Linked DNA regions of Oryctolagus cuniculus. The protein of the gene in region 2 interacts with the protein of the main gene of each other region in a pairwise test. Links are inferred from orthologs where the notes say so. Each region holds a gene or a part of one and is shown on either strand. Other genes may lie near its edges.

The links.
Region 1: the proteins of FIP1L1 (region 2) and PRMT2 interact in a two-hybrid assay, tested with the Homo sapiens proteins (2 studies listed by BioGRID and IntAct). The link is inferred for Oryctolagus cuniculus from reciprocal best matches to the Homo sapiens genes FIP1L1 and PRMT2.
Region 3: the proteins of FIP1L1 (region 2) and CPSF4 interact in binary tests that used the Homo sapiens proteins (3 or more experiments, as listed by UniProt). The two-hybrid records come from large-scale screens. The link is inferred for Oryctolagus cuniculus from reciprocal best matches to the Homo sapiens genes FIP1L1 and CPSF4.

The regions. Positions count from the first base shown.
Region 1 is NC_091435.1:202,865-207,121, reverse strand, and holds the start of PRMT2 (protein arginine N-methyltransferase 2), read left to right. Parts: upstream 1-1,457; 5' UTR 1,458-1,601; intron 1,602-2,635; exon of another isoform or gene 2,636-2,949; intron 2,950-3,097; exon of another isoform or gene 3,098-3,100; 5' UTR 3,101-3,162; coding exon 3,163-3,201; intron 3,202-4,257. UniProt on the Homo sapiens protein: Arginine methyltransferase that methylates the guanidino nitrogens of arginyl residues in proteins such as STAT3, FBL, histone H4. Acts as a coactivator (with NCOA2) of the androgen receptor (AR)-mediated transactivation.
Region 2 is NC_091439.1:110,501,602-110,505,789, reverse strand, and holds the start of FIP1L1 (pre-mRNA 3'-end-processing factor FIP1), read left to right. Parts: upstream 1-1,388; 5' UTR 1,389-1,664; coding exon 1,665-1,749; intron 1,750-1,870; exon of another isoform or gene 1,871-2,102; coding exon of another isoform or gene 2,103-2,118; intron 2,119-2,583; coding exon 2,584-2,628; intron 2,629-2,719; coding exon 2,720-2,759; intron 2,760-4,188.
Region 3 is NC_091450.1:41,650,084-41,654,248, forward strand, and holds the start of CPSF4 (cleavage and polyadenylation specificity factor subunit 4), read left to right. Parts: upstream 1-1,365; 5' UTR 1,366-1,524; coding exon 1,525-1,627; intron 1,628-4,165. UniProt on the Homo sapiens protein: Component of the cleavage and polyadenylation specificity factor (CPSF) complex that play a key role in pre-mRNA 3'-end formation, recognizing the AAUAAA signal sequence and interacting with poly(A) polymerase and other factors to bring about cleavage and poly(A) addition.

The sequences.
Region 1 (4,257 bases), on a different chromosome or scaffold from region 2:
GACTTTTTTGTTGTCTTTTAAAAAAAGATTTATTAATGTATTTGAAAGGCAATTTTAGAGAGAGGGAGGGTAGAAAGGAAAGGGGAGGGGTCGGGAAAGAGAGGGGTGGGGAGAGAGAGAGAAATACATGGATTTCCATCTGCTGGTTCACTCTGCAAATGGCCACTGCAGCCAGGGCAGGGCCAGGCCAAAGCCAGTAGCCCAGAATTCCATCTGGGTGTCTCACGTGGTTGGCAGGAGCCCAATCACTTGGGCCAGCTTTTGCTGCTTTTCTAGTGCATTAGCAGGGAACTGGATCGCAGGTTGAGCAGCTAGCACTCAAAAGAGCACTGCACTCATATGCGATGTCTGCATTGCAGGAGGTGGCGTAACTGGCTGGGGCACAATGCCCACCCCAAGCCTGGACTTCACTCCTGGACTTCTCATTGAGAACTGCTTTTCTCGCCCTGACTGACAGGTTTTGGCTTAGCACGAGCCTCCTGAGGGAGAAGGCTGGTGCGATTTCACTCTACCACGCAGGTCAAGACCTGCCTGTTTGCTCTTCTCATTTCCAATCCATCATGCCAGCCCACAAGCATCAGAAGCCCCTGTGGACCCCCTGCCAGGGCCGTGCCTGTGTGCTGCTGATGCAGACCATTAGGTGTGCGTCTGCCTCAGCAGGTGCGCTGGGAGGGGCTGGTATTTTAGGTTGTTGTGTAGATTATGGGAGGCTGCCCTGCACTAGACCCAAAAGACCAAACCATTATGGACTCACTGATGCCCCAAGTCCAAGTCACCAAGCTGAAAGCAGAATGTTTATCTGACTTCTGAGAGCACAGAGGCAGGGAGGGAGAGGCCACATTCCCAGACAGGCCAGATGTGGCAGGAAAGTAACTTGGAAATTCCTCTTTTGTCTGTTTCTGCTCTCCTCAGCCCTCTGTCTATTAAACTAACATCTGCTCAGCTCACTAGAACGCTCATTTAGAACAGGGTGTTGACTGAATCTAGAATTGCACACAAAACCCAATCAGACCTTCAAGTTGAATGTTTTTTATACATTCGTCTCACCCTGTGCGACCACACAGCTCTGGGGCCGCTCTCCCAGCTGGGGCAGGGACGGCAGTCCGCCTTCCGGTAACCCCGGGCTTCTGGCGGGGGAAACCCTACTTGACCGCGGCGCTCCCGGCGTCCAGACCCGGTCCACACGGACAACGGAAGGTCCCTGAATTACCACAAGAAAACCCCAATCGGGGTCTTGGGCCAGCAACACGCTGCCCACAGCTGCCGCGCACCGCGTCCGACCCCCAGCCCTCCGCCCCCGTCTACGTACCCGCGCCCGTTCCCGGCGTCCGACTCCCGCCCCGGCCGGCTGTGGGCACGGGAGCCGGTTCCTCACACGGGCTGACGACGCAACTCGGCTCTACCCCGCAGAAGGCGTAGCCTGTGGAGTGCGCCTGCGCGGTAGGATGGCCCCGCCTCGGGGCGGGGCCTCCCCTGGGCGCGGCTCGTGCGCACTGCGCCTGCGCAGGCCGAGGGCGGTGGCTCTGGCTCCCGGTGGGGAACCGTCAGCCCCTACGTGCTGGTGGCGTGGATGTGCAACTCGGCGGGGAGAAGCGACTGAGGTAGGTGTCCTGGTGGACCCAGCGTAGGAGGCTGGGCTGCACTTGAGGCAGGACTTGTAGGGTGAGGGGGTCCTCGCCCCCCGTGTGCGTCGCTGGCCGACTGAAGCCTCCGTCTCCTCCTGGGACCCCCGAGCGCCCTCCCGGTTCCTCGGCTCTGCGCTGTAGCGGCTGTCCGCGAGCTCCGCGCCTGCCCCACCCCGTTGCCCCGCCCCTCTCCGACGCCCCGCCTTTTCCCTACGCGGCACCACGCCCACCGGAGGCCCCGCCCCTCTCCGGGGCCCCGCCCCTCTCCTGCGCCACGCCTACCAGCGGCCCCGCCCCTCTTCGGGGCCCCACCCTGGCCGAGCTACGCCCCTCGCGGCGCCACGCCCCCTCGGCCCGGGCCAGCCGCGCCGCTCCCGGGTCTCCCTCCCTCCCTCCCGTCAGGTCTCTTCCAGAGCTCCGCCCTAGCCACGTCCCTCCCCGCAGGCACGCCCCTCCCGGCGCACGCCCCTCCCCGCAGGCACGCCCCTCATGGCGCACGCCCCTCCCGCAGGCACGCCCCTCCCGGCGCACGCCCCCTCGGCCCGGGCCGGCCGCGCCGCTCCCGGGTCTCCCTCCCTCCCTCCCGTCAGGTCTCTCCCAGAGCTCCGCCCTAGCCACGCCCCTCCCTCAGGCACGCCCCTCCCTCAGGCACGCCCCTCGCGGCGCCACGCCCCCTCGGCCCGGGCCGGCCGCGCCGCTCCCGGGGCTCCCTCCCTCCCTCCCATCAGGTCTCTCCCAGAGCTCCGCCCTAGCCACGCCCCTCCCTCAGGCACGCCCCTCGCGGCGCCACGCCCCCTCGGCCCGGGCCAGCCGCGCCGCTCCCGGGGCTCCCTCCCTCCCTCCCGTCAGGTCTCTCCCAGAGCTCCGCCCTAGCCACGCCCCTCCCCGCAGGCACGCCCCTCCCGGCGCACGCCCCTCCCGGCGCACGCCCCTCCCCGCAGGCACGCCCCTCGCGGCGCCACGCCCCCTCGGCCCGGGCCGGCCGCGCCGCTCCCGGGGCTCCCTCCCTCCCTCCCGTCAGGTCTCTCCCAGAGCTGCCTCGGCCCCGGCGTCAGATCCGGGCCGCACCCTCGCGCCGTCGTAGGTGGGCCCAGGTTTCCAGCGGAGTTAGTAGTTACGGTTCCAGGAATCACGAGAGTAGGGTCAGGCCTGTTTGTAGGCGAGGCGTGCGTTCTATAGGAGTGTGGCGCTGGCAGGCGCGGGGGAGCTGAGGAGAGGCGGGGGGCTCCGTCCCAGGGCGACCCCAGGAGCGCCCGGGCCAGCCCGGGACGCGCGTGTGCCTGTGCCGCTTGTGGTGCTTTCGATGGGCCTTGTAGAACTGAGGGTGAGTTTCATCTCCACACCGCGGCGCACGCGTAGGTTGGTTTCACTTGGGTCGGGGACCTTTCTAGTGTGCCTCAGAAGTTAAATGGATTTGATTGTCAAGCGGTGTAACAGCCCTCTCCCCCTCTCCCCCTCCCTCTCTCTCTCAGTAGAAACGAGGAGGAGAAAATGAAATAATAAAGGCAGCAGGTATGAGGCAGAGCCCGAGGGAACTATGGCCACGTCAGGTGACTGCCCCGGGAGTGAGTCTCAGGTAATTTTGTCTGCAGTGTAAGAACTCGTGCCCAACGAGCGTGAATGTGACAGAAACAAGTGTCAGCTCACAAGCCAGGAGCGTCACTTGTGTCCTTGAAGGTGGCCCCCACAGCGGGCTGCTTCCGTTGAAAGAGCGTTGAGGTACAGGGTTGCAGATGGCGTTCCCGTGCTGGTGCTGGAAACATGTCTAGGGAGTACTTCCGGTGGTCAGAACACGGGGTCCTCTGCACACCTGCATCCAGCGTGGGAGTGCCTGGCTTCAGGTGCTGGCTTGGCTCCTGATGCCAGCTTTCTGCTGTGGTGCACCCTGGGAGGCAGCAGGTGATGGCTCAAATAGCGGGATATCTGCCACCCTCATGGGAGACCCAGATTGAATTCCTGGCTCCTGTCTTTGCCTGGTCCAAAGCCCTGCTGTTGTGGGCATTTGGAGAATGAACCAGCACATGAGCTTGCTCTCGCTCTCTCTCTCTGTCTCTCTCTACCTTTTAAATAAATAAAATTAAGCACTTAGTAAAAAACAAAAAAAGAAACTGCACACAAAAATATCAGTCACCTAGGACTCAGTTTTGGTGCCTGAACTAGTGAAACTAGCATGCTTTCCTAGCTATTTGATGACACCCAAGTATAATACCAGCCAATTAGAAGAGATACATGTATGCACACTGTTTTCTGCCTGGGCTACACACATAATTTCATTCAAGCTAGCAGTAAAAAAAAGAAAAAAAAAACACGTTAAATTTTAAGGAATGTTGGTTATGTAAAATAAACTAATATTCTAATAGATGTTTTAAAAAATCAAACATTTTGAGCCGGCGCCGTGGCTCAATAGGCTAATCCTCCACCTTGCGGCGCCGGCACACCGGGTTCTAGTCCTGGTTGGGGCGCCGGATTCTGTCCCGGTTGCCCCTCTTCCAGGCCAGCTCTCTGCTATGGCCAGGGAGTGCAGTGGAGGATGGCCCAGGTGCTTGAGCCCTGCACCCCATGGGAGACCAGGAAAAGCACCTGGCTCCTGGCTCCTGCCATCGGATCAGCGCGGTGCACCGGCTGCAGCGGC
Region 2 (4,188 bases):
TTGTGAAAGGCAGAGTGGTGGGGGGCAGAGAAGACAAAGATCTTCCTTCTGGTGGTTTCTTCCCCCAAATGTCTGCAGCAGCCAAGGTTGAGTAAGGCAGAAGCCAAAAACCAGAGGCCAGGAACTCTGCCTGTGTCTCCCTTGTGGGTGGCAGGAACTATCACCCACTTCCTTCCAGGTACACTATCATGATGCTGGATGGAAGCAGAGTGGTCAGCGCTTGAACTTAGCCTCTAACATGGGACTGGGCACTCCCAGCAGCTCCTTAACCCACCGTGCTGCATGGCCACCATTAAAGTGATTTCTTTCTTTCTTTCTTTCTTTCTTTTTTTTTTTTTTTAGCAAGTGAACATCCCATTTCAAACCTTTACAACTAAAAGGGACCTTGGGGATTACCTAATTCAGCTTCTCATTTTTTACTTGAGAAAAACTAAAGTGCAGAAAGGTTGATTTCTCAAACTCACACGATGAGGTGGCATAAACAAGTGGGAAGATGAAATGAAACACCATCGAGACCTAGAACTCCAGTTCTAACCCGCACTGGGGCATCTTTCCCTTGGGAGATGTGTTCTTGAAAGCAGCCTGGAAACTTAGCATTAGCGGTTAAAACAGCACTGCACAGAGTTTACAGTCTTGGAGAAACACTCGGGCACATCTGCAGGAAGTCCCAAGGATCTTCACCGTAAGGTTCTGTTCACTTCTGGGTGACAGACAAAAGGGGAAGATCAGCTGGTGAACGTCACATTCACTGTGTGATAGTCACGCTTTGGGACTGCACGCAGCATTGCTAAGCGGGCAGTTTGATCTCCAAGGCGCCATTGGGTTAATCAAACAAGAAAAACCCGGAAGCAGGATGACACATGAGCCCTGGGCCCTCGAAGGCTCATTTCCCTTAAGTTCTCCTTTGAAAACCATGCAACACAGGTAAAGCAAATGTGTGGAAAATTTCAGAAGGGTGCTCACAGCAGGTCCCAGTGCCCACTTCCAAAGACGGTGGTGCAGCAGGTTCTCTCATGTGCACGTTGTTACTGTTTTTTTAAACAAGAAGAATGCATCATTCATGGATCACTTTTGCTTTTGATGGCTATTAAAATTAACTTCTCAAGACTATTAATCGTTAATTTCTGGAGGACGGATTATGATTTCTTTTGCAGAAGAGGACCGACAGGTAACTGCGCATTAAGTTTGATAAACAAAAACCTTTAAGATAAATCAAAGCTTTAGACAAAGCATCACAGACAGGAGAGAACAGGAAGTCTTCCTAGACGAAGGCAGGGCGGGGGAGGGGAGCCGCGCCGGCGCAGTGCGCCCGCCCGCCCGGAAGCCACGCCGGAAGACCGAGCGCGACGCCGTGGGGGAGGGCGGGGCCACGCGCAGCGCGCAGGCGCAGTCAGGCGGGGGGGGGGCCGCGGCCGCGGAAGCGTAGCCATCTAGAGACGCCGCGCCGCTTGGACGCTGCTGCGCGTGCGCAGGCGGCCGGTGTTGAAGTCCTCGCCTTTGCCGCCTCGGCCGCTGCGGCCGTCTGTCCGGGATTGGCGTCTCGTGTTTCCTTGGCTCGCCCGCTGGCGGGTTCGCGCCCTTCTCGCGCCCCCGGGGCAGCGAGGCTGGGGCAGGGGTTGGCTGGGGGCTGTTGATTGGCGCCTTGAAGGGGCGGCCGGGCGGCCATGTCGGCCGGCGAGGTGGACCGCCTTGTGTCGGAACTGAGCGGCGGGACCGGAGGGGATGAGGAGGAGGAGTGGCTGTATGGCGGTACGGAACTTCCTGTCCCTTGTCCCTCGGCGGGGGTCCCTGGGGGCGGCCCGCCCGGCCCCGCGCGCCGGCCCCGCGGCCTGAGGGCCGCTCCGAGGCCGAGCGCGGCGGGCCTGGCGGCACCGGGCCCCGCGTCGCGCCGGCGGCCTGGCTGCGGGCCGCTGCGGCGTCCCAGGTGGGCCCTGCCGCCCCTCGGACACAGCCGTTGAGAAGTCTGGCTGAGTGAAGGCGATGCGGAGACACTGCCGTCTAACGTGGGCGCGATGCACCTGCCAGCGCGCCTCCCGGGCAGGGTCGTGCTTTTACAGTAGTCGACTCGGGGACCCAGGTTATGGCCCAGAAAGAAACCCCTGATGTCGCCCGTGCCAGGTGACGTTGTGGTTTTTTTCTAGGGACCCATTAACTCGCGTTGTAGAAGCACCGCGTGGCCCTTTTTGGCCTGCCTTTCTCAGCGTTAATCTATTTTTCTCTAGTGCTTCTTGTGCTTGCTTCTTGCAAGGTGACTTGACATCGGGATTTTTTAACTTAAGTGGAGCCGCAGGGCCCCTTTCTGTTCCACGAGGTTTGCAAGTTCGTGGTGTTTGCTTTCCTAAAACGTGAATTCTTGATGGTTTCCAGCGTCACATAGTAAAGGTGTCCGTTGGGCACCAAGCAGCCCCTCAGTGACGTAACTGGAATAAACGTCTTAAAAAAAATTCCTCCTCTGTCAAGGTGCGGCACTGTGAAGTTCTTTGCAACGTGAATGGGTAACTTTGTATCCGTGAGGTCTGAGGTCCCGTATAGGTGTGTCTTGTTGGGGGATTGTAAGGTGATCTAACTCTGCTGTGTTTGTAGGCCCGTGGGACGTGCACGTGCACAGTGACTTGGCAAAGGACCTAGGTTAGTGCTTGTGACCACTTCAGATTTGCATGAGACTGATTTCTGTAAGAGTGGGATCTTCACTTACTCGCTTATTTATTCTGTTTGGTAGATGAAAATGAAGTTGAAAGGCCAGAAGAAGAGAATACCAGGTTAGTGCAATTGCCTGTTGATCTTGCACACACGTTGTGTGAGTCCATCAACAAATTGTCAAAAGTTCTTCATCGGCATCCTGACAATGTTTGGAGGACGCTGAGTCTTTCAGACTTTCTTCCGAATTCAAGGCCTACCCTTAGACCAGTTCCATTTGGTAGCAGCTCAGAGGACGGTTTTTAAAGTTAGACTTTGACTAGGTTTTACTATTAAGTAACTACTCATCAGTGAGCTCAGTAGCAGAATGTACAGTGTAGTCATCAAACTAAGGAAGATATTTTAACCTCAAGACTTTTGAGGAACTCTGAAGGTTACTGCTTTTACAATCTATTAATATTTTTGATAGTCTAATGCACCTTGTTATGACCTCAGTGCTTTGTATTTAAGTTGAAAGTTAACATGTTATAAGATTGAGTCTGTCAAATTATCAGAGAGGTGTGGCATTTGTAGACATTTAAATTTCAAAACAACTCACGCAAACTCATGCTGACTTTACTCTGGCCGAATGCACTGGTGTTCTATAATGTAGGACAGGGTGGTAAAAATGGGAACTTTAAAGAATGTTTGTATTTAGAAAGTGGACAGCATCTCACTGAACAGCCTGAGGTGGCTGGAATCAGAGCTAAGACAGGTGTTGGTGACGCTGTGTCAAAACTGAAACCCCAGCCAGCACACTGCTGGTAGGCTTGTCAGAGGCGCAGCTGCTGCAGAGCATAGACTGGTAGTTTCATCCAGTGGTTAAACAAGTTACTGTATGACTCAGGCGTTCCACTCCTGGGTTTATACCTTAGAGAAATGAAAACACGTATCTGCTCAGAAAGTTGTCCGTGAATGATCATAGCCACATTATACATTAAAAAAAAAAACAAAACGGAAGCAGCCCAAGTGTTCGAGGACTGTTGAGTGACAGGTTAAGTGTGGAGCGTCTATGCAGCGGGATACTGTTGGGCCGTGAACAGGACAGTGAAGTACTGCAGCGCGTGGCAGCACGGATGCACCTGGAGAACATCACGCTAGGTGAAGGAGACCCATGGCAGAGGACAGCATGTATGTGACGTGTCCAGAATAGGCAGATCTAGAGCTAGTGGACTAGTGGCTGTCAGGGTTTTAGGGGAGGGTTGAACAGCAGTGACTGCCAGTACACCTGAGATTTCTTGTCGGGGCAGTGCAGATGTTTGGGAATCAGGTAGCTGCACTGTACTGAACCCACCAAACCGATGTAACTGTGTCCCTCCGTGGATGGGTTGGGTGGGAAGTGGAAACGGGAACAGCTGAGGAAGGGCTATGCTTTTCATTCGCTGCTGTATCAGATCTTTTCATTTAGTTCTGAGTTTTATGTTGTCACCTCAGCTCCTGACCCTGATCCCAACCACAAAATTGGGATTAGCATAGTTTATAGTTATGAAATTTGTTAAATATTCATACCCA
Region 3 (4,165 bases), on a different chromosome or scaffold from region 2:
CACTGGGTTCTAGTCCCAGTCTGGGCACCGGATTCTGTCCTGGTGGCCCCTCTTCCAGGCCAGCTCTCTGCTGTGGCTCAGGAGTGCAGTGGAGGATGGCCCAAGTCCTTGGGCCCTGCACCTGGCTCCTGGCTTCGGATCAGTGCGGTGCGCCGGCCGTAGCGGCCATTTGGGGGGTGAACCAACGGAAAAGGAAGACCTTTCTCTCTGTCTCTCTCTGTCTAACTCTGCCTGTCAAAAAAAAAAAAAAAGTAATTTGAAAAACAAAAATAAATCGTGAACAATGAAAAAAATAGGGGCCGGCGCTGTGGCATAGCGGGTAAAGCTGCCACCTGCAGTGCCAGCATCCCATATGGGCGCCAGTTCGAGTCCTGGCTGCTCCATTTCTGATCCAGCTCCCTGCTATGGCCTGGGAAAACAGTAGAAGTCCTTGGGCCCCTGCACCTGAGTGGGAGACCTGGAAGAAGCTCTTATCTCCTGGCTTCTGATCAGCACAGCTCCGGCTGTTGCGGCCAATTGGGGAGTGAACCAGCGGATGGAAGCCTCTCTCTCTCTCTCTCTGTCTCTGTAACTCTGACTTTCAAATAACTAAATAAATCTTAAAAAAGAAAAAAATAAATAAATCACATAGAATCAGCAAAACAATACCTAGATATAGAAAGAGGCATTTTACACTATGCTCTGTGTCCCTCCATGGTTTTCCAGCGTGAGCGAGCTGCATGGACCCTCAGCCCCCCTCGAAATGACACGGTTTCGGGCCCTACCCCAGCTGCTCTGTCAATCAACTAAATGCAATCAATGCTCGATCTCACATCGAGAAAACGAATAAAAAGGGCAATTTTGTTCCCACCCAAGTCCACTAACGCACCCAGGTTAAAAACCCCCGGGGTTGAGAGCCCCGCGGCCGCCGTCCTCCCTCGGACCCCGCATTCCCAGACGCTCGCCCGGCCCCCTGGTCACCCCGGCCCCCTCTCACCCCGGTTTCCTCCGACGCCCCCGGGCCTCCCTAGGCTCGGGTCCCCGGGCCGCTGTGAGGACCCATGGGAACTCCCAAGCGTAGGGGTCGCGGGCCCCAGGCCCCAGGGACCCGGCCTCACGCGGCCCAGTCCCGCGTGCCGAACCGGCCCGGTTCCCCTGTGGGTCACCCTCCGCCAGAAGCACGCGCCCCGCGGAGCCTCGCCCATGCGCAGTCCGCGTCGCAAGCTCCCACGCGCGGGGGTTTCGGCTTACCGGCCAGGCGAGGGGAAGGGAGGCGCTGCGTTCGGCGGGCGGCTAGCCGGGCCTGGCAGAGCGGTCGTCCTCCGCTCTCGATTGGCCGGGTCTGGACGTGCAAAAGCACCGGCGCGGGCTCGGGCGCTCCCGGCATCCCTCGCGCGGTGGTGGCGGCGGCGGTGGCGGCAGTGGCGGCGGCGAGGCGGAGGCGGAGGAGGCGGACTGCGTGCGGCTGGGGCCGGCGGCGGGTGGAGGAGTGAGGGCAGCGAAAGACCTGAGAGGAAGTCGGGCCGGGGGGCCGCCGCCGCCGCCATGCAGGAGATCATCGCTAGCGTGGACCACATTAAGTTCGACTTGGAGATCGCGGTGGAGCAGCAGCTCGGGGCGCAGCCGCTGCCCTTCCCCGGCATGGACAGTGAGCGCGGGGCCGGGGCGGGCGGGCGAGAGCGACTCCGCTCCGGGACACCTGTCTCTCGGTCCCGGAACCCCTGCTTGCCGGGGGCCGGGGTCCCCATTTTCTTCCCTCGGACTCCGGAGCCCCCTCCCTCCCCCCACCGTGCGCACTCTCTCGGGTCTTTGGACCCCTGGGGCCGCTCTGAGGTCCGCTTCGGGCGGTGCTTGTGTAGTTCTGGAATGAGGGCGAGTCACGCTGGGTCGGCAACCCCAGCCCCGGGCAAGTCCTGGGCTGTGCGCCCCGCCGCCTCCCGCCCCACTCGCTGAGCGGCCGCACTGGGTCCGAAGGGGAGCCCTGCCGAGGAAGGGGCCTCCTCCCCTCTGTAGGAGACCCCCAGCCAACCCCCGTCTGCTCCTAGGACTCGCTCTCCTGGGAGCGCATCTCCAGTCTGGCCTTGTCCCCCACTTTTTCTCTGGTCCCCGGGAAAACATCGCACCCGGGCACCTGAGCCCCCATTAACCGTCTTCCTTCCCCTGGCTTCTCCACCTCCCAGCGCAGACTTTAAAAGACATAGCAGTTTTCTTATCTCCTCTCGTTTGTGCACCTGCTTCGGATCTGCAACTGTAAAGCGCACGTCACGGACGGGGAACGGAGGCCCCGGGTGGAGAAGGGACTTGGAGCCCACGTACAGCCAGGCTGTGTCCCGCAGCTGCCAGCAGCAGCACTGCCCTCAGGCAGCCCAGCCTTCTCACACCCACGTGATCCGCCTCTCTGCTAGCGAGGGCACGCCCAAGAGACCACCATGAGAGTACCCCTGGGGGGCCCCCCACCCCACCCCTCCGACCACCGAGGAGAGCCCCCCGGGCTCCCCGACCCCAACGACCACCACCGATGAGAGTCCCCCTGGGCTCCCCGACCCCTCCGACCACCACCCCTCCAACCACCGAGGAGAGTCCTCCGGGTGCTCCCCCCGACCCCTCTGTCTGCGACCTCTCGGTGCGCACACACTCACGTGCAGCTTCTCATTTCTCACTCTTGGTCTCTTCATGTCTCAGGGGCACTGGTTTGAGGCCGTGGGACCATCCTACTCCCGCTTGGCAACACAGATCCAGGAGCCTGTGAGGCCGGGGGCGGGGCCCCACGGGGCTGCCCCGGGACACAGGCAGCCCGAGCACTCCCCACGTGTCCGTGCTCACGTGCCCTGCGTACCTTCCCTGAGCTGCTTCCCCATCCCAGTGCTGGGAAGAACCCCTTCTGCCCTTGAGACAGGCTCCTTATCCCATCTGCCTGAGCCTCAGTCAGACGTAGCAACAGAGGGAGAAAGAGAGGTCTTCCATCTGCTGGTTTGCTCCCCAAGTGCCCACAGCAGCCCGGGTCTGGACCAGGTGGCTGAAGCCAGGAGCCTGGAACTCCATCTGGGTCTCCCACGTGGGTAGCAGAGACCCAAGTCCTTGAGTCATCATCTATTGCTTCCCAGGATGATTGACAGCAAGCTGAATCAGAAGTGGAGGGGCGGGACTTGACCCAGTACTCTGACGATGGGATGTGGGCATCCCAAGTGGCCACTTAACCTGCTCTGCCACGCCTGCTCCTAAATGGTATATATATTTTAAGATTTTATTATTTATTTATTTGAGAGGGAGCGACAGAGAAAAAGGTCTTCCATCCTCTGTTCACTCCCCAAATGGCCACAATAGCTGGAGCTGAGCCAATTAGAAGCTGGAGCCAGGAGCTTCTTCCAGGTCTCCCACGCAGGTGCAGGGGCCCAAGCACTTGGGCCATCTTCTACTGCTTTCCCAGGCCATAGCAGGGAGCTGGATGGGAAAAGGAGCAGCCGGGACTCGAACTGGCGCCCATATGGGATGCCGGCACTGCAGGCGGAGGCTTAGCCCACTACCACAGCAATGGCCCCAGTGGTATGTTTTTAAATGCAAGGTTTTCAGATTTTTGAGATGCGAACAGAATGACACCCCAAGTTCTACAACCTTAGCTCTGTCCAGCACAGTCTGCCTGTTTTGAGAAGCCAAGGAAGCCACTCCAGAGAGACCGCCAGTGGGTTTCAGCGGTTCTGAAATGGCTGCTGGTAGAGAAGACTTCGTGAGCCCAGGGAACGTTTAATCTGCTAGCCATGGCCAGTGGATTCCTGGACTCGCAGACCCTGGCCCCAAGCCCCCCGACTTCCCTGCGCTGCACCTGTGGGAATGCAGGCTGGGCCCCTCAGCAGCAATGTGGGTGCCGCGTACCCAGGGCCTTCCTGCCTGTGCTCTGCCCCCTGACCAGCGTCCCGAGGCCCCCAGCCCCTCCTCCCAGGCCCCGTTTGCTTGTGCTGCCTGTCCCATCTTCCCCCCTGCCTGTGAAGTAGCTCTCCTGGAAGCGCTGAGCGGGGGGATTAGCTCATTTCTGTGAGCCTGTGTGCCAACTTTCCTTCCCCCACCCACTCTTAACTCCTTGGAAGGAACTTGTGGACAGGAAGCTCTCGGCAAGCCTGGGTTTCACTGTGTGCATCTCACCTTTCACTGTGTGCATCTCACCTGCCGGGTAGGACGGAAACAGGCAGCT